Diceros bicornis minor: one gene and its partners. The protein of the gene in region 3 interacts with the protein of the main gene of each other region in a pairwise test. Links are inferred from orthologs where the notes say so. Each region holds a gene or a part of one and is shown on either strand. Other genes may lie near its edges.

What was found.
Region 1: the proteins of PPP1R18 (region 3) and TEX11 interact in binary tests that used the Homo sapiens proteins (3 or more experiments, as listed by UniProt). The two-hybrid records come from large-scale screens. The link is inferred for Diceros bicornis minor from reciprocal best matches to the Homo sapiens genes PPP1R18 and TEX11.
Region 2: the proteins of PPP1R18 (region 3) and STX11 interact in binary tests that used the Homo sapiens proteins (3 or more experiments, as listed by UniProt). The two-hybrid records come from large-scale screens. The link is inferred for Diceros bicornis minor from reciprocal best matches to the Homo sapiens genes PPP1R18 and STX11.
Region 4: the proteins of PPP1R18 (region 3) and FSD2 interact in binary tests that used the Homo sapiens proteins (3 or more experiments, as listed by UniProt). The two-hybrid records come from large-scale screens. The link is inferred for Diceros bicornis minor from reciprocal best matches to the Homo sapiens genes PPP1R18 and FSD2.

What each region holds. Positions count from the first base shown.
Region 1 is NC_080781.1:64,217,804-64,225,416, forward strand, and holds the start of TEX11 (testis-expressed protein 11), read right to left. Parts: upstream 3,011-7,613; 5' UTR 2,962-3,010; exon of another isoform or gene 2,946-2,961; intron 2,924-2,945; exon of another isoform or gene 2,802-2,923; intron 2,460-2,801; exon of another isoform or gene 2,249-2,459; 5' UTR 2,228-2,248; coding exon 2,191-2,227; intron 1-2,190. UniProt on the Homo sapiens protein: Regulator of crossing-over during meiosis. Involved in initiation and/or maintenance of chromosome synapsis and formation of crossovers.
Region 2 is NC_080778.1:23,344,910-23,351,869, forward strand, and holds the start of STX11 (syntaxin-11), read left to right. Parts: upstream 1-3,960; 5' UTR 3,961-4,053; exon of another isoform or gene 4,054-4,131; intron 4,132-4,295; 5' UTR 4,296-4,435; coding exon 4,436-4,484; intron 4,485-6,960. UniProt on the Homo sapiens protein: SNARE that acts to regulate protein transport between late endosomes and the trans-Golgi network.
Region 3 is NC_080753.1:34,421,990-34,428,853, reverse strand, and holds the start of PPP1R18 (phostensin), read right to left. Parts: upstream 3,018-6,864; 5' UTR 2,734-3,017; intron 2,284-2,733; exon of another isoform or gene 1,653-2,283; 5' UTR 1,625-1,652; coding exon 14-1,624; intron 1-13. Other genes in the region: NRM (nurim), read right to left, coding at 4,299-4,580, 4,936-5,112, 5,730-5,926, 6,502-6,634.
Region 4 is NC_080744.1:95,273,959-95,281,894, forward strand, and holds the start of FSD2 (fibronectin type III and SPRY domain-containing protein 2), read right to left. Parts: upstream 3,014-7,936; coding exon 2,369-3,013; intron 2,221-2,368; coding exon 2,125-2,220; intron 419-2,124; coding exon 188-418; intron 1-187.

The DNA of each region.
Region 1 (7,613 bases), on a different chromosome or scaffold from region 3:
GGCCAATAAATCTATGAAAATACACTCAACTTTACTAGTTATCAGGGAAATGCAAATTAAAACAACACCTATGTAAGATGATAACATTAGGGTAAATGAAACTGGCTGAGGGGTATATGGGTACTCTCTGCAATATCTTTGCAACTTTTCTGTAAATCTAAAATTATTCCAAAATAAAACGTTAATTAAAAACAACAATACCCTTCACATCTACAAAATTTTTTGTCTGATAATACCAAATATTAGCAAGGATATAGGGAAAAGAGAAAGAGAGAGGGAATATTAATTGTTAAACTACTTTGGACAGCAATTGGACAATACTTATAAAGTTAAAGATGCTCATAGCTTTTGACCCATCAGTTCCACTCCTAAATGTATATACCCTGGAACAGCACTGCCACTAGAGGGTAGCCACTAGCCACATGTGACTACTGAGCACCTGAAATGTGGCAAGTCCAAAATGAGATATGCTTTAAGTATAAATAAAATACATACTGGACTTCAAACACTTTGTAAGAAAAAAAAGAATGTAAAATATGTCATTAATAATTTTTGTATTGATTACATGTTGAAATGATAACATTTTGGATATACTAAGCTAAATAATTTGTAATGTTAAAATTAATTTCATCTGTTTAAGCTTTTGTTAATGTGGTTACTCGAAAATATAAAATTATTTGTGTTTGCACTATGGTTCAATGGGACAGTACTGCCCTAGATCCTCACCCACTAGTGCTCAAGAAATAAATCAATTTAGTTGGTCATAACCAGCATTTTTTAATTAAAAAGCATAGAATAGAAAACATCATAGTGCACTGCGTGTAATAAGGGTAAGACTGTTTCAAACTTTTGCTATGGTGTGTATGTACTGGGATGTGATGTAAAATATATTTCCTTGCCATGAGTGGTAGTCAGAAATGCTTGAAAGCTCCTGCTAAGCTCTTGGAAACACAATGTTCATTGTAGTGTTGTTGTTATGTAACAGCAAATATTTAAAACAACTCATATGTTAAAACAACATATTTGAAACAACAACAAAGGAGATTGGATAAATAAATTGTACTTCTATTCAACGTAATAGTTCTAATCAGCAGGGCAAATAAATGAACTAGAGCTAAAATATCCATATGGGTAAATATCCAAAACATAATGCTGAGCAAAAAAAGGCAAGTTACAGAAAAAAATCATACAAAATGATACAATTTATGTAAAATTTTCAAAGATGACTAACCGGTGCATCTAATCTTCTAGTTCTTTGAAACAATGAAATACCTGAAGCATATGACAAACTGTTAAGATTCAACAAAACTTACTGGTAGGTATACAGGTGTTCATTATATTATTTTCTATACTTTTCTGTGTGCTTCAAATATTATATAAATACAAGGGCTCAAATACAATATACTTAAAAGTCATAATCCTTATTCCATGTTTATATCTTTAAGATACCATATCCTAAATTAAAACATAAGGTAAGAGGTAGTGGGCTTTGTTGCTGTTGTGCTAAAATGACAAGAATTAACAAAATATTGACCTAAACATTTTTAAATCATGGATTTGTAGCCACCCTGGCTACACATATGTCATTATTATATGAATAACGTGAAATATATATGAATGTGAATATATGAATGTGAATGTATCACAGGTCTAATCATGTACCCAGAAAAAAAGAAATAGTGTAAACATTCCCATATCTGGCACGGTTGAGGAATCTCTTGTTCTAGTCAAATTGCTTTTATTAACAATTACCATAAATACCATACAGAGATTACCAATTTTCAAAAGAATTAAGATACAATAAAATGCAGTTAAACCTAAAACTATACAGGATATAATTTATTTTTCACTGATGATTTTGGAAAGGCACTCCAGGATCTTGCAGTAATTTTTTTAATGTACATTTAACGCAGTAGATTTCTATTTCAGATTAAACCAATGTTAATTTGCATGCAATAAAAATCCTGAGAAAACAAGCTATGAATTGTGAATTCAGTTTCCCTACACTAGCATATAAAAGGGTTCCAGTGTCTTAAACATCTACATTGTTTTTCTGGTACACAAATAAGAAAACTTGGAGCTATGGATACTCCAAAGAGATAAAATTCAGAAACAAAATACATTTAGAAGATTTTAGATAAGGCAGCAAACAGTTTGACATTTTCTTTACTACCATGTAAAGCTATATACCTTTAAAGTCCATGAAACGAAAATCAACATCGTCCATTTTTAAATCTCTGGCTCAAGCCTATGAAATAAAAAAAAATTTTAATCTTCTGTCCTTTATCCTCCAGTTCCTCAATAAATTTCTTTTCAGTGAAATTTTTCCAGTTACCTGTTACCCAAAGGAAAAAAAATGCTGAAGAAATTTTAAAACTCAGAAAAAGTAGTTAACGAGGGGTGGGGCCAGGAGTCATGTCACAGGAATCTGGCTCGGAGGAAATTTTCATCCCAAATCTTTTCTTACCATAATCCGCCTGGCAACCAGGAAACCAGGGTACCCTGTGATTTGTCTGGCTGGTACTCGTTGCCTCCTCCTAATTGGTTCAAAATCCCTCTCTCCACCGCCCATACATTCAAAGCACCCAATCACTCACTGGCCTTTTTCCCGCTCTCACAGACCCAGCTAGCGCGCCTTCAGCTCCCCGCCCCCAACAGTCACCAACCATACGGCTTCAACGGAATGTAGGTCCTTCACATCCAAACTACAATAACTACTGTCTCCCGCTTTCAATGACCCCACAATGCGCCCCATACTTCATCCAAGTCAAAAAATCCTGCCTCTGCCCATCTTCTTTCACCTGAGAGTCAGCTACAGCAGCTCTGTGGTTCAAAATCATTGCCTCAGGGCCACTCTAAAAAGTGTTGACCTAATGGCCGCATCTTCTTGCTAGTTATAAACCACTCAACTGACCCGTACCTGACCCTCCTCTAGCCCTTCCTACCTACTAAATCAGTCACCTCAGCCGGGACCGCCAACGTGCCACAGTGCTGTCTCCACAAACTCCGTCCACAGTGCCCGACGACGCTTGGAAAGCTCCTCCCCCTACAGTGACGTCAATCAAAGACCACTTCCTATTGGCCTTTACTGTCTATCTCACATCGCGAGCCTAAGCCTTGGGGCGCAGTCTAGGCCTTCAATCCTGGGGATTAGTTCAGAGGGCAGGGGTGAGAATCACTGAGCGTAAGGAAGTATGGTGCAGTACTGGAAGCATACTACAATTATTGAGGGAAGAGTGCAGATGGCCAGGGTTATGGGAAAGAGGAGAGCAGGCCTTCAAAAGAAAGAAAAGGGACGTAGGGACGAGGGAGAGGAAAGAGGAGAGGGGAGGGAGGGAGGAAGGAAGGAACAATGTTGCCCACTGATTAATCGTGAGTGGCGAAGGTCAGCAATATCAGAAGTTGAGGAAACTGAAAAACCCTGTAGTTCCAAGACATGTTTCTGCTGCCCTGTCCTTGTCAAATCCGAAGGAAACTAACTAATGACTCCTCTACAGGCTCACAGCAAGGGCAGGGGTCCCACCCATCTCCAAACAAATGGTTTTAGGGATGGGGATGGAATATGTAAGTAAACATGTTTGATTCCAGCTGAATCTATAGGTGATGCTTGCAATCAAGGAGTTGGCCTCTACTTTAAAGCTCCACTCAGAGACAACAGTGTTATGGCATGATGCCTCCAAATATGGAGAAGCACCAAAAACAAAAAACATTAACAAGCCTCCCACTTCTTCCCTCACATACCCCTCTTTTAAGCCTTATGCACCTCAGTCAAGTCAGCTAGGGAACTGGCTAACAGGATGAAGAAGAGAGATTGTGGCTTCAATTCTGGGAACATTAACAGAGTTCCCTTCTGACCCTAAGACTCAAAATCAGTGATTATTTATCATGGAAAAGATGGAGTTTCTAAAAATAATTTCTTTCCTTCTTCAAAATTTTCTGCATCTAGATCACATAGAGTGAAGAAAAAAGGGAAAACAGAGAAAGTACTGCTATTAACTTCTCTTCTTTTGCATCTTGCAATTTGGTATTCATTTCACAATCCTAGATTGCTAAATTAGAGGAAGAAGTCTGGTGGAAAAGGGCAGTAGAGTGTCCCATAGCTGACTGAATCCTCATGCACCGCATACTTTGTGACCTGGTGCTAGCTACTTAGAATCTCAGGACCTCAATTTCCTCTTCTGCAGAATGGGAATAAAAGTAGTTCTAGGCTTCTGGTTCAATAGAATAGTGTACATAAATCATCTAGAACAGTGGCTGGCATATAGTACATACTTAACAAATGTTAGTTCCCATTATCGTTCCCCATTTCCTGGTTGGCAAACTAAGGGCTCCCAACTTTCATCATCCCACCCAGGCCCCTGGCTCTACCATAACTTCTTTGTTCATGGATGAACAGATGAACAAATAGGGCGATAATTAGACCTCAGCTCTCAAGCCTGCAGTGGTCTCTTCACACACATCTTAGAGCTCTTAGTGATTAATAATGTCTGTAGTAGAATGGATATTATATTATCCAGGATTATATAAGGCATACAGAATCAAATGACTCTATTGATTAATACTGACTGTAAATATGACTCCAAAGTCAGAGCTACTGAGCAGGCACCACTGCATTGAAAGGGCCAGTGAATAAAGGAAAATATGCAGAAAGGGTGGAAACCCTTATGTTGTATGAGTATCTCCAATATTTTTGTTTTTGATCTAGATGGCCTCCCTAGATGCTATAAGAAAGAGAGAATTAAAAGGACAGAAAAAAAGTAAAAGAGAGAGAGAGAAGAGGAAAGGAGATAATAAAAGAAGCAGGTGCATATTGAGGAGGATATGCAAGAGTGAGTAGTAAAATGCCATTAAGAGGCATTCAAAATGCCGTAGATTATCTTCCCTTACCCTAGCATAAACTATAAATTTCCTGCTCCTACCTTTTGAAAAATTGAAGCAAAAATGGTGAAATAGTACATAAGGCTGGTGAACAGCTTGGAATCTAATGAGAGCTAATTAAGATTCTCATTAATAGAGTGGATTAAAAGAGAGTAAGCAACGAAGAATGCAAATTACTTAATAAGGTAGCATTATATCTTGTTAAAAGAACAAAAACACTTTCAGCATAAATATGCAATTATAGTCAGGAAAATTATAAAAACAAAAGCAATAATAGAGTAAGGGACAGGGGCTTGTTATACCAGACATTAAAACTACCGTAAATAAAATTGTGTGGTAATTGTACAGACAGATAAATGGAACAAAAGAGAGTCCAGAAACAGACCCAAATATATAGAGCAATGATTCAAATCACTGGGGAAAAGAGTTACTCACGAAAAAGTATTGAAACAACTGGATAGTCATTTTAAAAAATAAAACTAGATCCCTGCCTCACTTCACATACCAAAATAAATTCTAGATTAACCAAAGATTAAACTGAATCATAAAATTTCTAAAAGAAAATATGAGTGAATATTTTATAAACACAAAGGCAAAATATAAACACTATCTGAAAACCAGAATCAAAAAGGAAAACTAATGATGTTTTACAAGATTTTATTGCAACTTTTTTTACAAGAAATTATTGCAACTTTTCTGCATGGCAATTTGGCAATATGTATCAAAATCTTAAATGTGTGTACCCTGTTACCAGACAATTCCTCTTCTAGGAATTTTCCTAAAGAAGAAATTGGAAAAATTTGCGAAGACAGATTAACAGAAACATTCGCTGAAGCATTGTAAACCCCTTAAATGTTCACCTAGTTAAATGTGGCCTAGTTATACAACTTAGGGTACATTAGTACCAGATAGTGGAATACTTATACAGCCTTTAAAAACGTTGCTGAGAAAACAATCTAAAGGTATAAAGCTAGGGAAATGCCTATATCCTACCATTAAGTGTAAACAAGAAAAAAGTTAGCAACTACTCAAAAAGGTATAATTATATAGATTTGAGTGACTAAAAAACTCTTGGGATTGTTTCCACCTGGGTGTGAATAGGGAGCGACATAAGTGGCTACAGGAGCCAACTAATCCCACTAATACGTAATCGTAAAAAAAAAAGTTTATACAGAAGGTATACATTTATGTAAAATTGTATGCATATTTGAAAAAAAAGTCTGGAAGAATATTTACCAAAATATTTACAATGTTTATCTTTAAGTGGTAGGATTTGGGAAAATCTTTACTTTCCTCTTTATATTTTTCAGTTTCCTACAATGAACACATATTTTTATTAGGAGAAAAAAAGCTATTTTCATTAAAAAATCCACAAGAAGATGAGGGCGTTTTTATCTGATGGGCATGTGTTTTCTCAATAAAGTATGAGGCAAAGTCAATAGCAGGGAGTAGGAGGGAGAGATTTGAAGAATGTGAATAAGGTAAGAAACAGTTGTTTCAGAGAGCAGGGGAATCAGAGAGAAATGAGGATTTCCAGCAGTGTTGAGGGTTGATGATCATTAACCTGCCCAGTGGTGTGATTGCCTCCAACAATCCTGAACTACACAGGTGCAAGTATGGAGAAGATACTTGGATTCTCTGCTTTGTGGCGGGAATACTCTGGAGTATTGCCTAGGGAGGTGAAGATATTTGCAAGAGTGATAATGATAATAAATTCAGGAATTTAAGTGGGAAAGGGAGCAAGCAAAGATTGGAGGAAACTGATAAAAAGAGAGAAAGCATATGTAGGAGGGGGAAAGTGAATTGGAGGATTCATGAAGTCAAAGAATTGTTGCAGTGGGGTTACTTGAGCAAGTGAGCTGGGGAAGCTCAGGAAGTTGTGCGTAGAGAACTTGATGCTTGAATTAGTGATTTCAGAGGTGTAGATTCTGGCAAGATCTAGGGTATAACCATGTGACTGGGTAGCTGAGGTGTAATTCATTGAACCAAATCAGAACCACTCTCTCCTTCACATACTCTAACACTCTTACCCACACACTTCTCCTTCAGTTGTAGCCCTTAGAACTAATGGCTTTCAAGAGTCTGACTGGAATTTACTTTTCCTGCCTTATTTTTCCACTTCACCCCTTCAAAATCCTAGGCTCTGGGCAAACTGAATTATAAACTTTTCCGTCTTCTTGCCTTTGTACATAATGTTCCCTCCTCCTGTAATGCTCTCCTCCCGTTTGTGAAATTACACATTTTACTTAGCCTTTAAGCACCAGCTTAAAAGCCTCAACATCCAAGACTTCCCAGAACTCCCTGCCAGAACTCCCGCACGGGAATTCTCATGGTACTTCATGCATACCTCTCTTAGGACACTTATTATTTTCTACTTTGTATCTTTGTACTTATTCGGGCCAATTTTATCTCTGACTTCTTGAGGAGATTAAGATTAGACCATGCCTAAAGCAATTTTCTACTTCATCTTCAAGCATAGTGTCCTATATTCACTGTGTTGACTACCTAAGTGTTTTCAAAGTGTGGTATATATGATTATTTTAGGTGGTGCACAGCCAAACATTTTTTAATAGTTGGATATTTATTTTAATGTGTATTAGGAAAATACTTTGTTTTCTATTATGATAGTGGTGAAATATTTTCTTTTAAAAATAAGTGTATTTAAGGGCTGGCCCGATGGCGTAGCAGTTAAGTTCGTGCGCTCTGCTTCGGCGGCCCTGGGTTTGCAGGTTCAG
Region 2 (6,960 bases), on a different chromosome or scaffold from region 3:
GTTCCTGGGTGCAGACCTACACCACTCGTCCGTATTGGCCATGCTGTGGCAGTGGCTCACATACAAAAAGAGGAAAATTGGCAGCAGATGCTAGCTCAGAGTGAATCTGCCTCAGCAAAAAAAAAAAAAAGAAATAAAAAAGGAGATGTTACAACTGATACCACAAAAATACAAAAGATTATAAGAGACAATTATATACCAACAAATTAGACAACCTAGAAGAAATGGATAAATTGCTAGAAACATACAACCTACCAAGACTGAATCATGAAGAAATAGAACATCTGAATAGATCAATTACTTCTAAGGAGATTGATTCAGTAATAAAAAACCTTCCGGCAGACAAGAGTCCAAGACCACGTTGCTTCACTGGTGAATATTACCAAACATTTAAAGAATAATTAATACCTATCCTTCCCAAACTCTTCCAAAAAATAGAAGAGAACACTTCCAAACTTGTTTTACAAGGCCAGCATTACCCTGATATGAAAACCAGACAAAGACTCTACAAGAAGAGAAAATTACAGGCCAATACCCCTGATGAACACAGATGCAAAAATCCTTAACAAAATATTAGCAAACCAAATTCAACAATACATTAAAAGGATCACACACCATGATCAAGTGAGATTTATTCCAGGGAAGCAAGGATGGTTCAACATCCCCAAATCGATCAATGTAATACACCACATTAACAAAACAAAGGATGAAAATCATGACCATCTCGATGCAGAAAAAGCATTTGACAAAATGCAACATTCATTCATAATAAAAACTCTCAACAATGTGAGTACAGAGGGAATGTACCTCAATATAATAAAGACCATATAGGACAAGCCCACAGTTAACATCATATTCAATGGTGAAAAGCTGAAAGCGTTTCCTCTAAGATCAAGAACACGGCAAGGATGCCCATTCTCTTCACTTTTATTCAACATCGTACTGGAAGTCGTAGCCAGAGCAATTAGGCAAGAAAATAAATAAAAGTCATACAAATTGAAAAGGTAGAAGCAAAAGTGTCACTATTTGCAGATGATATGATATTATATGTAGAAAACCCTAACGAATCCACTAAAACACTGTTGAAACTAATAAGTGAATTCAGTAAAATTGCAGGATACAAAATATGCATGCAAAAATCAGTTGCATTTCTATACACTAATAACAAACTATTAGAAAGAGAAATTAAGACAACAACCCCATTTACAATTGCATCAAAAAAAATATATCTAGGAATAAATTTAGCCAAGGAGGTGAAAGATCTGTTCACTAAAAACTATAAGACATTGGTGAAAGAAATTGAACAAAACACAACTAAATGGAAAGATATTTCATGTTCATAGATTGAAAAGAATTGATATTGTGAAAAGGTCCATACTACACAAAGCAGTCTACAGATTCAATGCAATCCCTATCAAAATTCCAACACCATTTTTCACAGAAATAGGCCACATAATTCTAAAATTTGTATGGAACCACAAAAGACCCCAAATAGCAGAAGCAATCTTGAGAAAGAACAAAGGTAAAAGCATCACATTTCCTGATTTTAAACTCTATTACAAAATTATAGTAATGAAAACATATGGCATTGGCATAAAAGCAGACACACAGATCAAGGGAACAGAATAGAGATCCCTGAAATAAACTCACACATATATGATTAACTAATTTATGACAAAGGAGTTAAGACTATACAATGGGGAAAGAACAGTCTCTTCAATAAATGGTGTTGGGAAAACTGGACAGCCACATGCAAAAGAATGAGATTGGACCCCTATCTTACACCATGCCCAAAAATCAGTACAAAATGGAGTAAAGACTTAAACGTAAGACCTGAAACCAGAAAACTCCTAGAAGAAAACATAGAGGGTAAGCTCCTTGACATCAGTCTTGGCAATGATTTTTTGGATTTGACACCAAAAGCAAAGTCAACAAGGAACAGCCTCAGTGGCCTAGTGGCTAAGTTCAGCTCACTCTGCTTCAGTGGCCCAGGTTCGGTTCCTGGGTGCGGACCTACACCACTTTTCTGTAGTGGCCATGCTGTGACAGTGGCTCACATACAAAAAGAGGAAGATTGGCAGTGGATGTTAGCTCAGGCCGAATCTTCCTCAGCAAAAAAAAAAAAAAAAAGCAAAGTCGACAAAAGCAAAAATAAACAAGAGGGACTACACCAAATAAAAAACTTTTGCACAGCAAAGGAAACCATCAACCAAATGAAAAGGCAACCTATGGAATGGGAAAAATATTTGCCAATCATTTATCTGAGAAGGGGCTAATATCCAAAATATATAAAGGACTCATACAACTCAATAGCAGAAAAACCAATCTGATTAAAAAATGGGCAGAGGAACTGAATAGATATTTCTCAGAAGAAGACATGTAGATGATCAACAGGTACATGAAAAGTACCTGTGCTCAACATCACTAATCATTAGGAAAATGCAAGCCAAAACCATAATGATATATCGCTTCACACCTGTTAGAATGGCTATCATCAAAAAGACAAGGGCTAATAAGTTTTGGCCATAGATGTGGAGAAAAGAACCCTTGGGCACCGGTGGTGGGATTGTAAATTGGTGCAGCCACCATGGGAAACAATATGGAGGTTCCTCAAAAAATTAAAAATAGAACTACCATATGATCCAGCAATCCCACTTCTGGGTATATATCCAAAGGAAATGAAAACAGGACTTCGAAGAGACATCCACACTCTCATGTTTATTGCAGCATTATTCACAATAGCCAAGATATGGAAACACCCTAAATGTCCATCATCAAATGAATGAATAAAGAAGATATAGTATATATATGTACAATGGAATATTACTCAGCCATGAGAAAGAAGGAAATCCTGTCATTTATAGCAACATGGATAGAACTTGAGGGTATTATGTTAAGTGAAATAAGCCAGATAGAGAAAGACAAATACTGCATGGTATCACTTATATATGGAATCTAAAAAAAAAAAGGAGTCAAACTCATACAAAGAGAATTGAAAAGGGATTGCCAGGGGCTGGGGGGTGGGGGGAATAGGGAAGGTAGGTAAAAGAGTACTAACATTCAGCTATAAGATGAATTGGATGAGGATCCAGTGTAGACGTGGTAACTATGGTTGATAACACTGTATTATACAACTGAAATTTGCTAAGAGAGTAAAACTTAAATGTTCTCTTCAAAAAAAAAAAGATAAATATGGGAGGTGATGGATATGTTAACTAACTAGATGGTGGGAATTTTTTCACAATGCATACATATATCAAATCACCACAATGCACACTTTAAATATCTTACAATTATATTTGTCAATTATACCTCAATAAAGCTGAAAAAAATTCATGGATTGATGATTCAAGATGCATGTACTTTAAAAGGAAAAATCATAGCAACGATGATGAAGATCATTCAAATGAGTGTCTATTGTCTTCAAAATAAAGGGAATTGTATAGATGACAAGTGAAATACAAAATACCCCAATGCACATTTTAATTTTAGAACAAACAATTTTGGTTTCACTTCATCAAAACGATATTAAATCAATGCTGTTTATTTTAATATTATTAATTTTATAGTTTTTATGTGTAGATTGGTTTGGAGCCATAAGGAATTTATACCATGTTTATGTAACTAATATTGTATTTATATTATATTCAGCTAACAGAGTAGAAATAACCTGTTAACACCAGGTGCCGTATCTTCTTTTTCCTTGAAGAAGGGTCCACTCATTACTTAAGTTGGAAGGTGGTGTACTAGGACCATGAAAGAAATAAGGCGTGAATAGATTATGTCCCTCACTCACATTTGCACTGTAATCAATCATGAATTCCGATTTGGATGAGGGCATTTGTTTTGTAAATGTTTCTTTGTGACTGGGGATGTAGAGCTGTGGCAAAAGTTCCTGTTTCATAATTCACCTTTGCCCATCACCAACTTGTAGAAAAGAGGCTTTAAAGAAATCAGCTGGAGTGACCTGCTTTCAACACCCAGAGCCAGTGATGCAACGCCGTGTCAACTCCTGTGAAAGATTCCTCCTCATACTCGGGGCACAGAAGTAAGGTAAGGAGCTGTGGACTGACAGGAACATCTGTCAGCTTCTCCAAGGTGTCCTCAACAAGATCATCATCCCAAAGGCAGGTATGCTCAAGGAAAGACTGTCTGTTGAATCCGTGAGGTCACTTCTCAGATGTCGATCTGTTTTCACTGTATCACTTTAGTGAGTTCATCTTAAAAACATATTCATCATTTGAAACACGTTTGGTTTTTGTGGTGCCAATATTGTACTATTATATTTCCTTTAGGATCACGGAAGGATGCTGGCTGTGGTCCATGAACTCACAGGAATTATGAGCCATCTTTGAGGAGGGAATCTGTCCGTCTGAAGAGAGACCCAAAGGGAAATCAGACAAGTAAAGACGTGCAGCTGCAGCAAGGGGACAAAATGGATGAAGAGGAGGAAAAAGAGACGAAAACCATGTCTCAGCCCCAAAGTAAGGCTTTTTGGTATAGAAATACCTAGTTTATAAACCGGTAGCACAAATTCATCTACATGAACAAAATATTAATGTAAAAAAGTTTAGTCTATCTAGTGAAAATTACACTTGTTGAGAACTAATTTAGTTGTTCAAATTCAAAATCAATAATTAAAGGCTTATGACTAAACTATTGTCTGGAAAAGGCACTGCTTATTTGTTACATTCTGTTTATGCTTTTCTGTTTCACTATTAACAGTTCCGCAGGACAGCGTGATGGTGTAAAAAGGGGTTTACCAGAAGTGACTGTTGAGTAACAGTCTCATCTAAAAATACTTTTGCAACCTGTTATGCAAAATCACAGCTACAGAAAAATTATTAGGAACTGTTAAGCGGATCAGTTATACTATCTCTAGACCCAATTTTTCAGCCTGTTCTTTTTCAGGGAGAATGTTCAATTTGTATGCTTAGAGCAGCTAGTACATGCTCAACTTCAGGCCTCTTACAGCAAGTATGCCAATATATTAGAGGAAAGTTTTCACTTAACTGCAATTTGGGTTAGAATAAAAATACAACAGTGTCATTTCAGGAATTGCAGGCAGGGATAAAATGTAACTAACACCAAAATAGTGCAATTTCCACCACTTGTTTCCTACCCTTCCTTGTGTACCATCCACAGAAAAGTAAGCTTACTAAACAACAAGAAATTTGGTTTTCTATGAGAGTTATCTATTGCATTCTTTTCTTTCTTTTTTTTTCTTAGTAATTTTTCCAGGCTTACTTAGATTTTGACATTGCTCTTTGAGTGCAGGTAACAGGATAAAAGAAATCATTTGCTTTGGAAAGGTCTTATTTTTTGCTTCTTCTGTGGTCTTCGATGTTGTTCCCGGATTCTTTATTGATGGCTAAGAGTGCAGACTTCCATGTCAGACGCTGGGATTTGAACCTAGAGTCCTTTGCTTGCTGATGCAGGGACATTGGACGTTTACAGCTCATTTCCTCCTCTGCCAAATGGGGTTGAGTTGTGCACACTTCAAAAATTTGCGTTGAGAATTAAATTATATGAAAACATTAACACCATGCTTGGCACATTGTAACTGAACAATAAGTATTTGTTATCTTTAATACAGGTATTAGCATTATGGAGTTTGTACTTTTTTAATGATTTATGTTTGCTAATAATTGTACAATTAAATCTTGTGTTTCAAGGGTGGCTTAGTTTATCTGGGTTACATGTTATAACAAAAATACTCTAGACTGTGTGGCCTATAAACAACAGAAATTTATTTCTCTCAGTTCTGGAGGCTGGGAAATCTAAGATCAAGGTGCTGACAGAGTCAGTGTCTGATGAGAGCACGCTTCCTGGTTCATAGATGGCTATCTTCTTGCTGTGTCCTCACACAGAGGAAGGGGCAAGGGTGCTCTCTGGGGCCTCTTTTACAAGGGCACTAATCCCACTCATGAGCACTCCATCCTCATGACCTAATCACCTCCCAAGTCCCCACCTTCTAATATCATCACACTGGGGATTAGGTTTTAACATAAGAATTTTGGGGACACAAACATTCAGTGTACAGGAACGAGTTAGAAACTGTGTTCTCTGGTAAGCTGTGTACGTTGAGTAACGATGGCTTGTTTGCAGTACTGAAGTACAGATTTCCTCATACACCTGGAAGTAATTTTAAGTTATTAGCTATTGAAATATTTAAAACCATAAAAATTAACCTATTTACTTTAAAGTCTTATTTATATATTTCTGTAAATTACATTTTATGTAGAGAAGCTATATGCAAAAAGATTTACCTGTGAATTTGAGAATATTTTTCTAGTCTAAGTGTACTGAAGAAAAATTTATATAATATGATGTACAACATGGTTTCTTCATAAAGGTAACCAGTGGATTGAAATAAAGAGATGAGGGCTGGCCCCGTGGCTTAGCGGTTAAGTGTACGTGCTCCGCTCCTTGGTGGCCCAGGTTCAGATCCCGGGCGTGCACCGATGCGGCCATGCTGAGGCCGTGTCCCACATACAGCAACTAGAAGGATGTGCAACTATGACATACAACTATCTACTGGGGCTTTAGGGGGAAAAATAAATAAATAAAGTTTAAAAAAAAAAAAGAAGAAATAAAGAGATGACAGTAACATCAGGGAACTTTTTTTAGGAAGATTGGCCCTGTGCTAACATCTATTGCCAATCTTCCTCTTTTTCTTTTTTCTCTCCAAAGCCCCAGTACGTAGTTGTGTGTCATAGTTGTAGAGTTGTAGCTCTTCTACGTGGGACGCCTCCTCAGCACGGCTTGATGAGCGGTAAGTATGTCTGTGCCCAGGATCGGAACCCACGAAAGCTGGGCTACTGAAGTGGGCCGTGCGAACTTAACGGCTATGCCACCGGGCTGACCCCCAGGGAATATTTTTGTAAGGACTGTAGGTATAAAATTTTCAGAACAAGGATTTGGACGCTGTGCTCTAGCTACTAATTAAGAATGCTTGAT
Region 3 (6,864 bases):
GGCTGCTCCCTACCTGTTTGTGGTGCCTTTCAGGGGACCCCTTGACAAGGCAGCTGCGGCTGAGGCGGAGGTAGCCCCCCAGAACCAAGATCTCCTCGGCAGTCGGGTACCGCTTCTTCCCAGCCCCGGGGACTGCAGCATCAGCTGTGGCAGGGGTGGCTGGTGTGGCGGGGGCTGCAGGGGGCATGGACCGCCGGGGGTTGACTGTGAAGGTGTGTCCACTGCGGCGGGGGGCCCCCACCCCTGGCCCTGCCTTCACTCCATAGAACAAACGGCTCATGAGGGGATCCCCAGGGGGCTGGGGGGCAGGTGGGGCTGGGGGTGGGGGAGACAGAGGGGCTGCTGGTGGGGGCCGGAGTTCCAGTGCTTCCTCTTCCTGAAGTTGAGAGCCTCCAGTCCCGGCCTCCTCCGGTGGGAGGGGGGAGGGTGCAGAGTAGCGGTTCTGCAGGGCGCTCAGAGGCCTGCCCTGAGCCCCCGCCTCCTCCTTCTCAGCCTCCCCATCTCCAGCCTCTGCACCAAGAGGCCCCAGATGCTTCTCAGCAGACTCTGGAGGTTCTGGTTTCTGAGTTTGAGTCTCTGTTTCCCTGGGTGTCCATTCTCGAACCTTCCCAGAGTTCAGGGTCCATTTCCACCCTTCTGTCAGCCTCAAGCCCTTCTCACCATCCTCCACAGGGCTGGGCCTCTGCTCTGCTGCCTCCACTCCTCCAGAGCTGCTGTCTGGAGCCTCTCGTGTCAGAGTCTCTGAGAGCCCTGTAATCTCTTCTGGGGCCATCCTTGGAACTGGCCTGTCTTCTTTTCTCCCACATTCCTCCAAGCAGTCTTTTCTTTCTTCTCCTGTGCTCAGCCTCCACTCTGAAGCCTCCAGTTGTACCAAATTCTGTTCCTGAGACTCTCTAGAGTCAGATCTCCATTTATGGGCCTCTGTCAGGCCCAACTTTTGGTTATCAGACTCTGCTGGGCTCAGTCTACTTTCCACCATCTCTTTTCTCCTGGGGCTTTGTTCTTCAGGCTCTGCCAGTCTCAGACTCCGCTCTGGAGTTTCTCCAGGGCTCAGCCTCCATTTCCGGGCCTCTGACAGTCTGGAGCTCCTGTCTCCAGCCTCTCCTGGGCTCTGCCTCCAGTCCCGTGCCTCAGAAGGCCTGGGACTCGATTCTCGGGCTCCCCCTATCCCCAGCCTCCTCTCTCTGGCCTCCCTGGGACTGAGCCGCTCTTCTCTTGACTCTCTTCCCATGGGGCTCTGATCCCGCATCTCCCCAGGGCTGGGTCTCCGCTCCCGGGTCTCCAAAGGCCCAGGCCTTCTCTCTGCAAGTAGCTCTTCACTCCGCTGCTGCTGCTGCTGGCGCTCCTGCCGAATGAATCTGTTTTGGTGCACTGGTCCGATGGCCTCCAGGAGGACGGCAGACTCATCTGGGTCCGGAGGTCCAGCCTCTGTAGTCCCAGGCGTAGGGCTAGGCTCCCCAGGAGACAGACCAAGCTTGGCCCGGCGGCGCTCCAGGAGCCCCCGCTTCCAGGCTGGCATCTGGGACAGCCGCTCCCGCTCCGCCTTCTCCCGGCCACGAACAGCAGCCTCCTCCTGCCGGCGCCGGGCTAGCAGCTGTAGCTTCCAGTCCGGAATGGTGGCCATGGTCGCCTTGAGGTGAGGATGAGGAGCACTGGGGGCAGAGAACAGGAAGGAGAGGCTCCAGAGAGGCCCAGGGGGTGAGACTGGGGGTGGGGGGAGAGGAAATGGAGGGGGAGAGGTGGTACACAGAGAAGGGCAGAGGAGCTGAGGGTGAGGACAGTGGGAAAGAGGGAGAAGAGGAGGGCAGAGAAAGGGGAAAACCAAGAAAGTGCAGAAAAAGCTGTGAGCCAAGGTGGTGGTGGTGGGGGGTGTGGTGAGAGGAAGAGTAGAGATGCAAGGCAGAGGCACCAGTCAGATTTGGCAGTAAGGGGTTAAGGGGTATCAGAGACAGTCTCAAGGATGTGGGAAGAGAGAAGGACGAAAAGAGAAGCTGGCATGAGGCAGAAGAGAGAAAAGAGAGGCTGGGGGTGAGGGGGGACAGGGTTCAGGCGAGGTTGCCTCACCGCCACCCCAGGGGCGGTGAGGGTGGGCAGGGAGGTCAGGGAATGCTGCCGGAGAGGGGGCAACGGGACCTCAGGCAGTGTTGGGGAGGTCAGGAGGGGCAGAGTGGAGAGGTCTAGGGGAGAAGGGGGAGTCAGGGGGCAGAGGGGAGAGGGAGCTCCGCGGCTGCGGGCTGGCGCGTCTCGGCGCGGGCCCCAGAGGTCCGGCTCCCCTTCCAGCCCGGCTGGGGCCACGCCTCTCCGGCCCCAGCCCCCACCCCTCCGCCCGGCACTCCGCCCCAAGGCGGGTCAGGGGAAATACCCTCCCCCGGGGACTTTCAGAACTCGGGTGTCTGGGCTGCCAGGACGTTCCCAGAACCCTGGCGTCCACCGTCCCCTGCCCCCAGGACCGTCACCACCGCCTGTCTCCCCCACCGGCTGTGTCCCGGGACCCAGGCGCGGGGAGGACCGGCTCCACGCCTCTTCTCTCCCGAGCCTGCGAGTCCTGTGCCGGGGTCCCGGCTCTCATGGCACCCTGACATAGCCGGCCATCCCCACCCGGCTCTGATCGCACAGACAGACAATCTCGGCACAAAGAGGAGACAGCCCAAGGTGTCCGGGCCAGGGACGGGAGCGGGGACAGGAGGGAGGAGACACCCCCTCCCCAAGTCTGAAGCCCCTCAGTCAACTCACATGCCGCGGGACTCCCAGGGGAGGGGGTGCGGAGGAGCCTGGCGTCCGGAGAGAGGAGGAGAGAGGAAGAGGAGGAGAGAGGGCTCGAGGGAGATCCGGAGACAGGAGGGAAGGGAGGAGGGAGGGAGGGGAGGAGGGAAAGAGGGAGCCGAGGAGGAGGGACGGAGACAGAGACCTGGGGGCCGGGCAGGGGGCGGCGACCGCTTTGTCTGAGGACAATGGGGAGAGGGAAGGGGGCGCGGGGCGGAGCCCGAGGAGGGGGCGGGGCCTCGCTCCCTCCGACCCCGCGTGGGACTCCGCCCCCGGACTCCCCGCTTCGCGCCACAACCCCTGGCCCCCAGTGCTCTGTCCCTAGGGCCTCTCACCCCGCTCTCACCCGGTAGCCCTGAAGAACCCAGGTGTCCAGACCCCCGCCCCCACCTCGCCGACCCAGGGCGGCGGCCCGTGACTCAGGCCCCTCGAGAGACTTAGGGAGGAAGCAGCAGCTGCTCCGAGCCGGGCCCGCCCTTCCCATCTCCCGCTGCTCCTCCCCACGCTTTTGCCTTCTCCGGCCCGCCTTTGTTACTGCGGGGTCCAGGGTCTCCGCCAGGCGGCGGGGGGCCCGTGGGGAGGCGGTGGCAGGCGGGGCGCTTGCAAGCCGGGCGCTTTGGAAGCTCGCTCCCCTACCAGAGCCGCTGCCCTACTCTTTTTAGCTTCAACCTGTCTCCCATGGATCCCCTGGTCTACAGCAGAGAAATTGGGAGATTTGGAGGAAGGGGGACTGGGCCGCTCCGGGAAGGTAGGGGTCGGTCCAAGGCGAGTGGTCGCCACCCAGCGGTCGCCAGAGGGCGCGGTGGCTGCCCAGTCGAGTTCGGCGCGCCCAGGCTCTGGCTCGCCTTCCTTCCCAAACTCAGCCCTGAAGCTTGAGAGACACTGACAGACTGCATGCCATGTGGAGAAAAACCAGGCTCAATTTTATTTTCCTGAAGCGCGTGTTCCTCTGGAGAACAGGGAGCCCTTAGTCACCCGAATTAAGAGGGGGAGCATCCTCAACTAGGTTGAGGACGGAGCCCAGAGGCGGGGCCTAAGGAGGTGGAGAAGCCACCCAGTGGGGCCGCCCTGAGATGCAAGGCATGGAGCCTGAAGGGGCGGACACCACCATCAAACTTGCAGACCCGGGTCGAGCTCCTAGGGAAGCAAGACGTGGATAAGGGGATCCCTGAGGCGCAGAGGCAGTAATAGTGCCAGGGGACTGGTCAGGCCAGACCCTTCTCCTTGTGAGGAGGTTGTTAAGGGGGGGCGGGAGGCAGGGGGGTGGTTTAAGACCTAAACTGTGAGGAGACAGGTAAGTTTCCTAACCCTTCTTCCTGGCTGGTGAGAAATGGACCTTGGAGTCCAGTGGCGGAAACTCAGAATTTAGGGTATGGAGCGGGACTCAGGGAGTGGAGTCTTAACCAGAGGAAGGGACAGCCCCTTTCAGTTCATAGATTTGGGCCTCTGGTCTGAAGCAGCCAGGGCCTGGATGTTAAGGGATTTGGAATTCCACAGGGAGAGGAAATACAGGGCTTGGAACCAGGGTTAGCTCCTCATTCGGCCTCCGCATCCTGGGGCCGGGAGAGCAAGCGGAGTTTTCTTTGCAGCTGGGCCCGGAGGTAGTGGAGGTCTTGCTGGTCAAGTCCGTGAGCCAAGCCCAGGTAGACGGTAAGGAGGAGAGCAAGGAGGAGGCGGTCAGTGCCCAGGGTGGGGACCACCCACAGAACTGTCAGCAGCTCCACGCACACTGGGTGACGCAGGTGGGAGAAGAGTCTCAGAGCCCGGGGAGACTTCAGGGCCAGAGGCTCGCCCAGCCCCAGCACATGGTAGTACACCTACGAGAGGGGGAACAGCTTAGAAATGGAGTCAAGCCCTTTTTGCAACTTAGCCGCCTCTTTCCTCCCCTTCCAGGCACCCTCCTATAAGTCAGGCCCAGGAACCACCCTTCTGAGACTTGGGCCCCTGACCCTCATCTCTGGTTCATGAACCTTCCCCAAGCCTGGGAGGCCCATAGCTTCTGGCCTTTGAGGGAGGGCTGAGGGGTGACTGTCTTATAAGAAAGAGAAGTGAGGAAGTTGAAAGCAAGAGGAAGGTGGAAGAGCATGGGAGGAGGAGGAAGGAAATCATTGGAAGGGAAAGAGGTGTTCTAGAAACGATCAGAGGTCTCAGGTAGGGATCTGGGAGCCTCACCTGTTTGAGGCCCATGAGCTCAGCGTAGTCAAAGACGAGAAGGATGCTGAAGATGAGGAGCCAGGAGATGACGTGGAGCACAAAGCAGAGGAGGGGCACCCAGGTGGCCCATGGCTCAGCCCGAGCCTCCCACAACACGGGGCCTCTGGGTACAGGTTCCCAGTACCGCATCACCAGCTGGGGAAGGATGAGGGACTGGGTATCCCAGCAGCTCACCCTCGAGAGACCTAGACCCAGATGCTGCCTGCCACCCCCACCCCAGGGTGGCCTGCAGCTCTCCCCACCTCTACCATGAGCCTCACCAACAAACATCCACCATGTGGAGGGTGCTGGGTGGGGTTCTAAGGAGGTAAGGATGACCTGTCTCTACTCAGATGATTTACAGAACAGATGGGGGTGACCAGATAGGTACACAAAGTAGCCTATGCCAAGCACCCAATGAGAAAACAGGTACTAAGTGGGAAGCCTTCTCTTGAGACCTAGGGAAGTGGTTTTGAAGAAAGGGCAGGACCAAAGAGGAGTTAACAAGGGGATCTCAAGCAGGACAACATGAACAAAGTTGCAAAGGTGAGAATGCACATATTGTGCTTGGGGAATGACAAGCAGTACACCCTTCTTGATAAAAAGTAGAATGTGTGCTGTGGAGGAATGGAAGCTGAGATTAGTGTCCTAACACCCTCAGTTCTCCTAAACCCACATTTTATCAGAAGCCTAAGATCCTTGCCCCTCCAACCTAGGGCATCCTTCCCACATACTCTGTTTCCCTTGGGGACTCAGCTGCCAGAGCCTCATACCTGCAAGGCCAGGGCAGTGCATGCCACATACAGTGACCTCTGAAGGACCCCAAAGTACCGGGACATCCACGCCTTCACTGTCTCAGTTGCCATGAGGCTGTGCTGCCCCACAAATAGTAGCAGGAGCCCCAGATCCCAAGCCAGGGAGGCAAGGATGCTGTGGTCCTGCAGGGCAGCCAGCCATCCTTGGCGGGCATCTAGGGGGAGTTGGAGAAAGGGACAAAAGATCAGGAAGACGGTGGGAAACACTTCCTACCCTCATCTCTTGGGGCCTCAGGCCATGTCCCTTAATGCTTTCAAGAGCCTTAATGCTTCCTCTCCAGGCTTTCCCCACCTCGCTTTTCCATTCCCTGTTTCTTCCCTCTTCTTCAGGTCTCCTTCAGAGCTGGGGAAGAGGATTCATGTTGGGTAGTCACAAAGGCATGGCTGGAAAGGCTACCATTGGATTGCCCCTCTTATTTCGGTTCTCCAAATGCTCCCTGTTTTTAACATTCTCCTCTCCATAGTCCTCTCTACAAAGCACTTTCCTTAGAATACTCTGCTTATCGCCCTTTCCCTCCCCCTGAGTCTTCACTCTCCCGCCTCTCCAAACCGCTAATCCCTGAGCTCCTAATTTAGCCCTCTGGTCTCCCCGGCCGCTTCTCGGTGGCTTTCACGGTTCTAGTTCCCTCTCCGGACTTCCCCTGTCATTTGTCTCCAAGCCCCGCCCCGCTCACTCGTCTCCGGCCCCACCTCCCTACCCTAGAGCTCATTCTCGACCCCTCCCGCTCACCCGGACCACCAGACTCCGGGATCCCTCCAAGAAGTGGCCGAAGGGAGGTGAAGCGCACGAACTCCACTCCAGTGCCAAAGGCCAGGATGAAAGAGGCGAGGGCAGCAGGGACCAGAAGCAGTGCAGGGGCCATGGCGAGAAACCGAGGGGTGGGGCAAGGGGCGGGCTCGGGATTCCCGCTGCCGCAGGCCCCGCCCCCGGCCCCGCCTCCCGCCTGGGATCCTGCCCAGGAGGGCGGGGCTCTTGCGGGCCGACGCCCCGGTTTCCGGCCGCCGCGCGCGGTTTCTCCCACCAGGCCGCAGGGCCTATACCCCTACTCAGGAAGGCTCAGGCCTTCCTGAGCCTGCAGTTCTCGCGTCACAG
Region 4 (7,936 bases), on a different chromosome or scaffold from region 3:
CCACTCATGGCAAAGCTGTGCAGAAAGAGGAGGTGACAACCTCACCATCGTGAATATCGAGTCGAACCAAATGGCTTCTGACCATAAAAGGCAATTCCAATACCTCCAGGTGAAGAAGGAACAACCTAAGCTACTCCAGCTATAACTGTCATTTCAGTTCAATATTTCATTTCACTTCATTACTGACCTTGATGAAATCAACCTTCTCTTCATGACACATCTCCTCTACTGTTTCCATCAGTTCTTTACAGGTATCAAGGTTTTCTCCACAGATGACCAGTTGTCCATACAAGGCTTCCAGCTTCTCTTTCTTTTTCTCCCCTAGAGCTTGTATTTTTTCTTCATATTTTTGAGCAAGTGTTTCCAAGATCTCATTGTAATGTGACTCAAAGTTTTGTTCTTGTCTTCCAAAATTCTCCTGCAAGACAGTTCCCCTCAGTCATCATTTCAGTGCATCTGGTGTGTCAACAACAGAGTCATTTGGGGCATGAAAATGTATCTATATTGTAGCTATTTTAGTCCCTCCACGTAGTCTTATCTCTTGCCAGGATGCTGTGATGGACACTGGGGGAGCTAGGACCCAGGAGTCTCCAGCTAGAACCTCAGGGATAATCTTAACAAAAAGCACTGCTTTCTCTCCTGGCAGCATTTTGCAATCGTCCTCCTCACTCCATTTTTAGCCACCTTTCATCACCATGACAACCAACCAGGGAGATTATCAGTGATGAATGAGTCAGCCTGTCACTGGAACCTTGGACCTTAATATGAAGATGTTTGCTCTGGGCGATTCCCACTTATCTTTCCCTCCTGAGCTCTCAACATCTCATGACACTCACCTCCACCCCTCAATGCTTGGATTATACAAACACCAGGATCACGCAGATCCTCATATCTGCTGAGAGATATCAACTGCTTTCTCATATCAACTAAGAGAAAGATGAAGGGGAAGGGGAATAAGGGTTGTGGCCAGATGGTGCTGCCTAATAGATGAGAAAAGTCAGGAAGACAGAGGGAGGGTTGAGACCGTACATAATCCTGGAGCACAATGGATGAGAAATATTAGTCAGAGCATATGGATTCCTGGTCCCTGTTCCTTAGATTGGAAGCCCAGGCGAGCTCTGCGGGTTCTGACTGATGTCATCCTCACCCATAACAGGGACTTTCCAAAGAAGGGGCTCTTATCAATCACTCAGGGAGTATTTACTGAGCGCCTACTATGTGCGTAAGATTTGCTTAGAATGGTGGAAGAGAGGGAAAGACGGTAGACAACTTCCCTGAGTTAAGTGTAAAAGGAAGATCTCAGAGTCCTCACTGAGGTGAAGACACTTTGATCTGAGAGTGAGCTGGCAGTACAGAGTGTAGGGAGTTTTGTCCTGGCTGTTGCACACTGACCCCTCCTAGCACTACCCTAAGCTTGGAAGGGGAAGGGCTTGTCCCTTCTCTGCCTTCCATAGGGGATTAGTGCAATAGCTCTCCTCCCTTTTCAGATTGGAGGCTTCACGGGAAAGGGGCCTGGGGCTTAGTTAATTCATATGGAGTGCTCCTGTTGATACAGTCTGAGGCTGCATGAATAGGATTAGAGCATCCACATGAAGAGAGAGGAGACAGACGGTCCCCTGGTCCTCAGTCTCGGTATACCTCATCTGGAGGGTCAGGTTGAGTGCTGGCATCACAGCGGTATACTACATACCTATTAGGTCCACCCAGGGGACTGTGACATGTTTGGTGGCAGGCACAGAAACTTACTAATCTTGTGAGAAATAGATAACAGCTGAGGAAAAGCACACTTATTAATGACAGAATAGGTGTTTTGCAATGCCTTGTCAAGGCTGGCGCGTGAAAGAGTCCTACCTTGTAGTAGGACTGGGGATATATAGACACAGAAGACACAGTCTCCCACGGAGAGCTTCTAGTTGAGTAGGGATTGCTGACAGGTGGTGGGTGCCCTGAGGCATATACCCAAGGTGCCATGGGAGGGCAGGGGAAGGAGTGAGGGGAGAGGGGCAGTAGTGACGCCACCCATTCTAAGAAAGCAGGTTCTCCAAATCATATCAGACACAGCTGCTGACCCAGCCACTAATGGAAGCCACGTGTGTCTGGTGGGCTCATCAAGTGTGCTCTTACCTCCACAGTGATGAAAACCTCCTCTAAGTGACTTGCAAAATTTTCCATCTCGATAATCTGCTTTTCCAATTTGTACATATTTTTGTGAATTTCATCCTATCCAACAGAGGATCACAAGAAGATGTTAATGGTACATCTTTTCTCTCTCTCTTTTGTAGAAGGCATTTTAGATTTATTCCCTGCCTGCACATTTGAGATATAAATGCAATATCCAGAGAAAGAAGAACCAAGGAGACCTATTTACCTTGGCGATTTCCAGTGCTTTATTGAGTGGGGTCACCTCATGCTCTTTGTGTTCATCAAAAACCTTCTCCAAAGCTCTTACTGGAGTTTTGCAAGTGATGCAGAAGACGTCAGCAGCTTCTTCCTCATCCTCCTCCTCTGGGATGACGTAGCATTCATACTCCTCACTGGCACGGCCACGTGTGTACCTATAGGCTTCCCGCAAGTCCTGGCACTGGCCTGCCGAGCCCCACCTTCCGAAGCCTGGGTCCTCTGCCTCAGCTGCCTCTCCACTAAGTCTCCAGTCTCTCTGCTCCCCGGCTGGTTCTCTCCTCATCATCCCATAAGGAGGATATTCTGAAACCTCTATTCTGGGCATGTTTTCATCAACAAACTCATCCCCTAATTCGTGATCATCTTCAAGTCCATATAAATGGACAAGTTCATCCACTTCCTCTTCAAGTTCTTTTTGAGGCTTACCTTTCGCTGCCCCTCTTGGCTCACTGGTCATTTCAGCTTGGACTACTTCTCTTCTCATCCGAGTGGTTTCTTCTGGGAAGATATGCAGTCTGTCTTCAAAGTCATACAGATCCATGTGATAAAAGTGAAAGTTCTTGGAGGCAGTAGACCTGTGCATTGCCGGCGCCCCCCCAGCTTCCTCCTCCATTGTAGCTCTGGAGGACCTGGGCAGCACCTTTGCACAAGAAGGATCCTTCCTGGACGGTTAATAGCGGATATTCTGGGTGCTGGAACACAAAAAGAGGAAGAAAACTTCGTTTCTGAGATGGCCTTGTAGGAGGGAGTCATTAGATTGGGCTCCGCTCATTCACAATTTTTTTAAACTATCTGAGCAGCTGGGCTGTGGTTTCACTTTGAACTATCTGTAAAGAAAAGTTTGCTTTCTATAGGAGGATGGGCTTTCTAAGCTTAAAAGAGACAGAAGAAATGACAAAAGAAACATAAATAGATTTGACTAACAATAGACTCCTATACATTAAAAAAAAAACCTCGAAAGGGAAAATAATGGGAAGTGTCAGGCAATTATTATTAAGCAAATTGTATGAATTAATTAAAAAAATTAAGATCTTAATAGTTTACCATGCAAGGACAAGTCACAAAATAATTACTTTTGTATATAATATTACCTGTACAAAAACATTTAGAGAATGGTCCATCCTTGTGAGTAACAGAGAACAAATAAATTAGATGTCATTTTGACTTTCCAGTTAGCAAATATTTAAAAATATAAAAATGATACCCAAGGCAGGGTAAGGGAGCAGTGAGTACTCTCATATGCTGCTGGTTGGAATGTAAACTGGCCCCACCTCTCTGGAGAGAAAATTTGGCAACATGGATCAGGAGCATTAAAAGTGTTGACACTCTTGGCCAGTCCTGATGACCTAGTGGTTAAACTTCAGTGAGCTCTGCTTCAGTGGCCTGGGTTTGGCTCCCAGACATGGAATCACACCACTCCTCTGTCAGTAGCCATGCTGTGGTGGCAGCTCACACGGAAGAACTACAGTGACTTACAACTACATACTGGGGCTTTGGGGAGGAGAAAAAAAAAGAGGAAGACTGGCAACAGATGCTAGCTCAGGGCCAATCTTTCCTAGCAAAAAAATGTTCACACTCGCATGCTCGCTTCGGCATGAGATACTGAAATATGGAACTATACAGAGTTCCATATACTAAACATATACTAAAATTGGAACCATACAGAGAAGATTAGCATGGCCCCTGTGCAAGGATGACACACAAATTTGTGAAGCGTTCCATATTTTTACAATTTCTAGTAAAGGAGTAATATGCCAACAACAACAACAAAAAATATTCACACTCTTTAATCTAGTTTTCCCTGAGGAAGTATCTCAAACACAGGGGAAAATTTTTTCTATATAAAAATGTCCACCACTAAATTTTTTAAAATAGCAAAAAAATTTTTGAAAAGGCCTAATGATTAGGAGAATGGTTAAGTAAACTAGGATATGTACACTCTATAGCATATAATGCAGCCTTTAAAATATTTAGTGAGAGCAAATGATAACGTGGAAAAAGATTTACAATATGATGTTAAGTAAACAGAATACTCATTATATATAGACAATGATAACCACTGTTTTTAATGGAAGTTCGTAAAATCTAGGAAGAAATAGTCGTAGTAGTAAATACAATGCTAGTAGTAGCTACTACTTGTTGAGTGCTTACTGTGTGCTAGGCAGTTTATACACATTGTCTTATCCTCATATCAACCCTATGCGGTAGGCACTACTGTTATCCCCCTCTTACAGAGAAGGAAATTATGACTCAGAGAGAGGAGCTTGTGCAAGGTCACATAGTTAGTAAGTCATTGAACTGGGATTTGAACCTTAGTGTGCGTGATGGCCATGAGGATGTGGTGGTAGATATCCAACTACAGGGAGCGTGACTGACCAGAGGTTTCAGCTGCAGTCTGAAATCCATCGATATATTTGCATGGAGGACATGCTTCCCATGGACATCTCCCATCGGATGACAAAGTGTAGCAAAGATACTAAGGCAGATCCATTTCTGGTTGACACAAAACTACTCTGATGGCGAATTTTGGCTGGAGCCTTGCCAAACCCTGGCAGCTTTGCCAAACCTTTCTTAAGGGGCATGGCAGTCTAGGATGCTTCTTCCAAACCTTCCCTCCTCTCCTCCTTCACTTGGTGTGAGACTTGCATCATGACAAGACAGCTCTCTCAGCCTTTCCTATCTGTCTCCCTATTTTAACTCACACAGGTGTTTCCCCTAATAAAATTCTTGCAAATTTAATCCCATCTGGTACCTGCTTTTTGGAGGACTTAGATTAACACAAACTGTTGGACTTCAAAGCCCCTGCTTTCTTCTTAGCTCAGAACTGCCATGTGTTATACTAACTACTTTTGTAATATTTTTACTGACACATAATTCACACACCGTACAATTCACCTGTTTAAAGTGTGTAATTCAATGGTTTTGGTATATTTGCGTATATATGCAACAATCACCATAGTCAATTTTAGAACATTTACATCATCTCAAAAAGAAAGCCTGAGCTCTTTAGCTATCACTGCCTGCAGTCCTTCATTTACACCAGCACTGAGCAACCACTAATCTACTTTCTGTCTCTATTGGTTTTCTTGTTTGGACATTTCATATAAATGAAATTATATAACATGTGGTCTTTTGTGACTGGCTTCTTTCTTAGCATAACGGTTTCAAGTTTCATCCCTGTTGTAGTCTGTCAGTACTTCATTCCTTTTTAGAGTTGGATAATATTTTATTGTATGGATAAGTCATATTTTGTTTATCTATTCATCAGCTGATTTGCATTGTTTCCCATTTCATCTGAGTTGTTTTCATGTTTTGGCTATTATAAATAATGCTACTAAAACATTTGTGTACAAGTTTTTGTGTGGATATATGTTTTATTATTATTACTATTTTATTGAGGTCATAACTGTTTATAACATTGCGAAATTTCAGGTGTACATTATTATTTATCAGTTTCTGTATAGACTGCATCATGCTCACCACCAAGAGTCAATTTTTATCCATCACCATATATATGTGCCCCTCTACCCCTTTCACCCACCCTCAAACCCCTTTCCCTCTGGTAACCACTAATCTGTTCTCTTTGTGCATGTGTTTATCTTCCACATATGAGTGAAATCATGTGGTGTTTGTCTTTCTCTGTCTGGCTTATTTCACTTAACGTAATACCCTCAAGCTCCATCCATGATGTTGCAAATGGGATGATTTTTTCTTTTCTATGGCTGAGTACTATTCCATTGTATGTATACACCACATCTTCTTTATCCATTCGTTAGTTGATAGGCACTTGGGTTGCTTCCACATCTTGGCTATTGTGAATAATGCTGCAATGAATATAGGGGTGCATAGATCTCTTTGTATTGTTGATTTCATGTTCTTTGGATAAATACCTAGTAGTAGGATAGCTGGATCGTATGGTATTTCTATTTTTAATTTTTCGAGGAATCTCCATACTGTTTTTCATAGTGGCTGCACCAGTTTGCATTGCCACCAGCAGTGTATGAGGGTTCCCTTTTCTCCACCTCCTCTCCAACACTTATTATTTCTCGTCTTGTTAATTATAGCCATTCTGACAGATGTGAGGTGATATCTCATTGTAGTTTTGATTTGCATTTCCCTAATGATTAGTCATGTAGAACATCTTTTCATGTGCCTGTTGGCCATCTGTACCTTCTTTGGAAAAATGTCTGTTTATATCCTCTGCCCATTTTTTGATTGGGTTGATTGTTTTTTTGTTGTTGAGTTATACGAGTTCTTTATATATTTTGGAGATTACCACCTTGTTGGATATATGATTTGCAAATATTTTCTCCCAGTTGGTGGGTTGTCTTTTTGTTTTGTTCCTGGTTTCCTTTGTCTTGCAGAAGCTCTTTTTTTTTTTTGTGAGGAAGATCAGTCCTGAGCTAACATCCATGCTAATCCTCCTCTTTTTGCTGAGCAAGACCAGCTCTGAGCTAACATCTATTGCCAATCCTCCTCCTTTTTTTCCCCAAAGCCCCAGTAGATAGTTGTATGTCATAGCTGCACATCCTTCTAGTTGCTGTATGTGGGACGTGGCCTCCGCATGGCTGGAGAAGCGGTGCATCGGTGCACGCCTGGGATCTGAACCTGGGCCACCAGTAGCGGAGCGCGTGCATTTAACCGCTAAGCCACGGGGCTGGCCCTTGCAGAAGCTCTTTAATCTGGTGTAGTCCCATTTGTTCATTTTTTCTTTTGTTCCCCATGCCTGAGTAGACATGGTATTTGAAAAGATTCTGCTAAGAGGTTGGCCCCATGGCCTAGTGGTTAAGTTCAGTGTGCTCCCATTGGGTGGCTCAGGTTCGGTTCCTGGGTGCAGACTACACCACTCATTGGCAGACATGCTGTGGCAGTGACCCACATACAAAATAGAGGGAGATTGGCACAGATGTTAGCTCAGGGCGAATCCTCCTCAGCAAAAAAAAACAAAAAAGATGCTGCTAAGACTGATGTCAAAGAGTGTACTGCCTACGTTTTCTTCTAGGAATTTTATGGTTTCAGGTCTTACCTTCAAGTCTTTAATCCATTTTGAGTTAATTTTTGTATATGGTGTAAGATAATGGTCTACTTTCATTCTTTGGCATGTGGCTGTCCAGTTCTCCCAACACCATTTATTGAAGAGACTTTCCTTTCTGCATTGTATGTTCTTGGCTCCTTTGTTGAGAATTAGCTGCCCATAGATGTGTTGTTTTATTTCTGGGCTTTCAATTCTGTTCCATTGATCTGTGTGTCTGTTTTTGTGCCAGTACCATGCTGTTTTGATTACTATAGCTTTGTAGTATATTTTGAAGTCAGGGATTGTGATGCCTCCAGCTTTGTTCTTTTTTCTCAGAATTGCTTTCACTATTCGTGGTCTTCTGTTGTTCCATACAAATTTTAGGATTCTTTGTTCTATTTCCACGAAGAATGTCATTGGGATTCTGATTGGGATTGTATTGAATCTGTAGATTGCTTTAGGTAGTATGGATATTTTAACTATGTCGATTCTTCCAATCCATGTGCATTGCATATCTTTCCA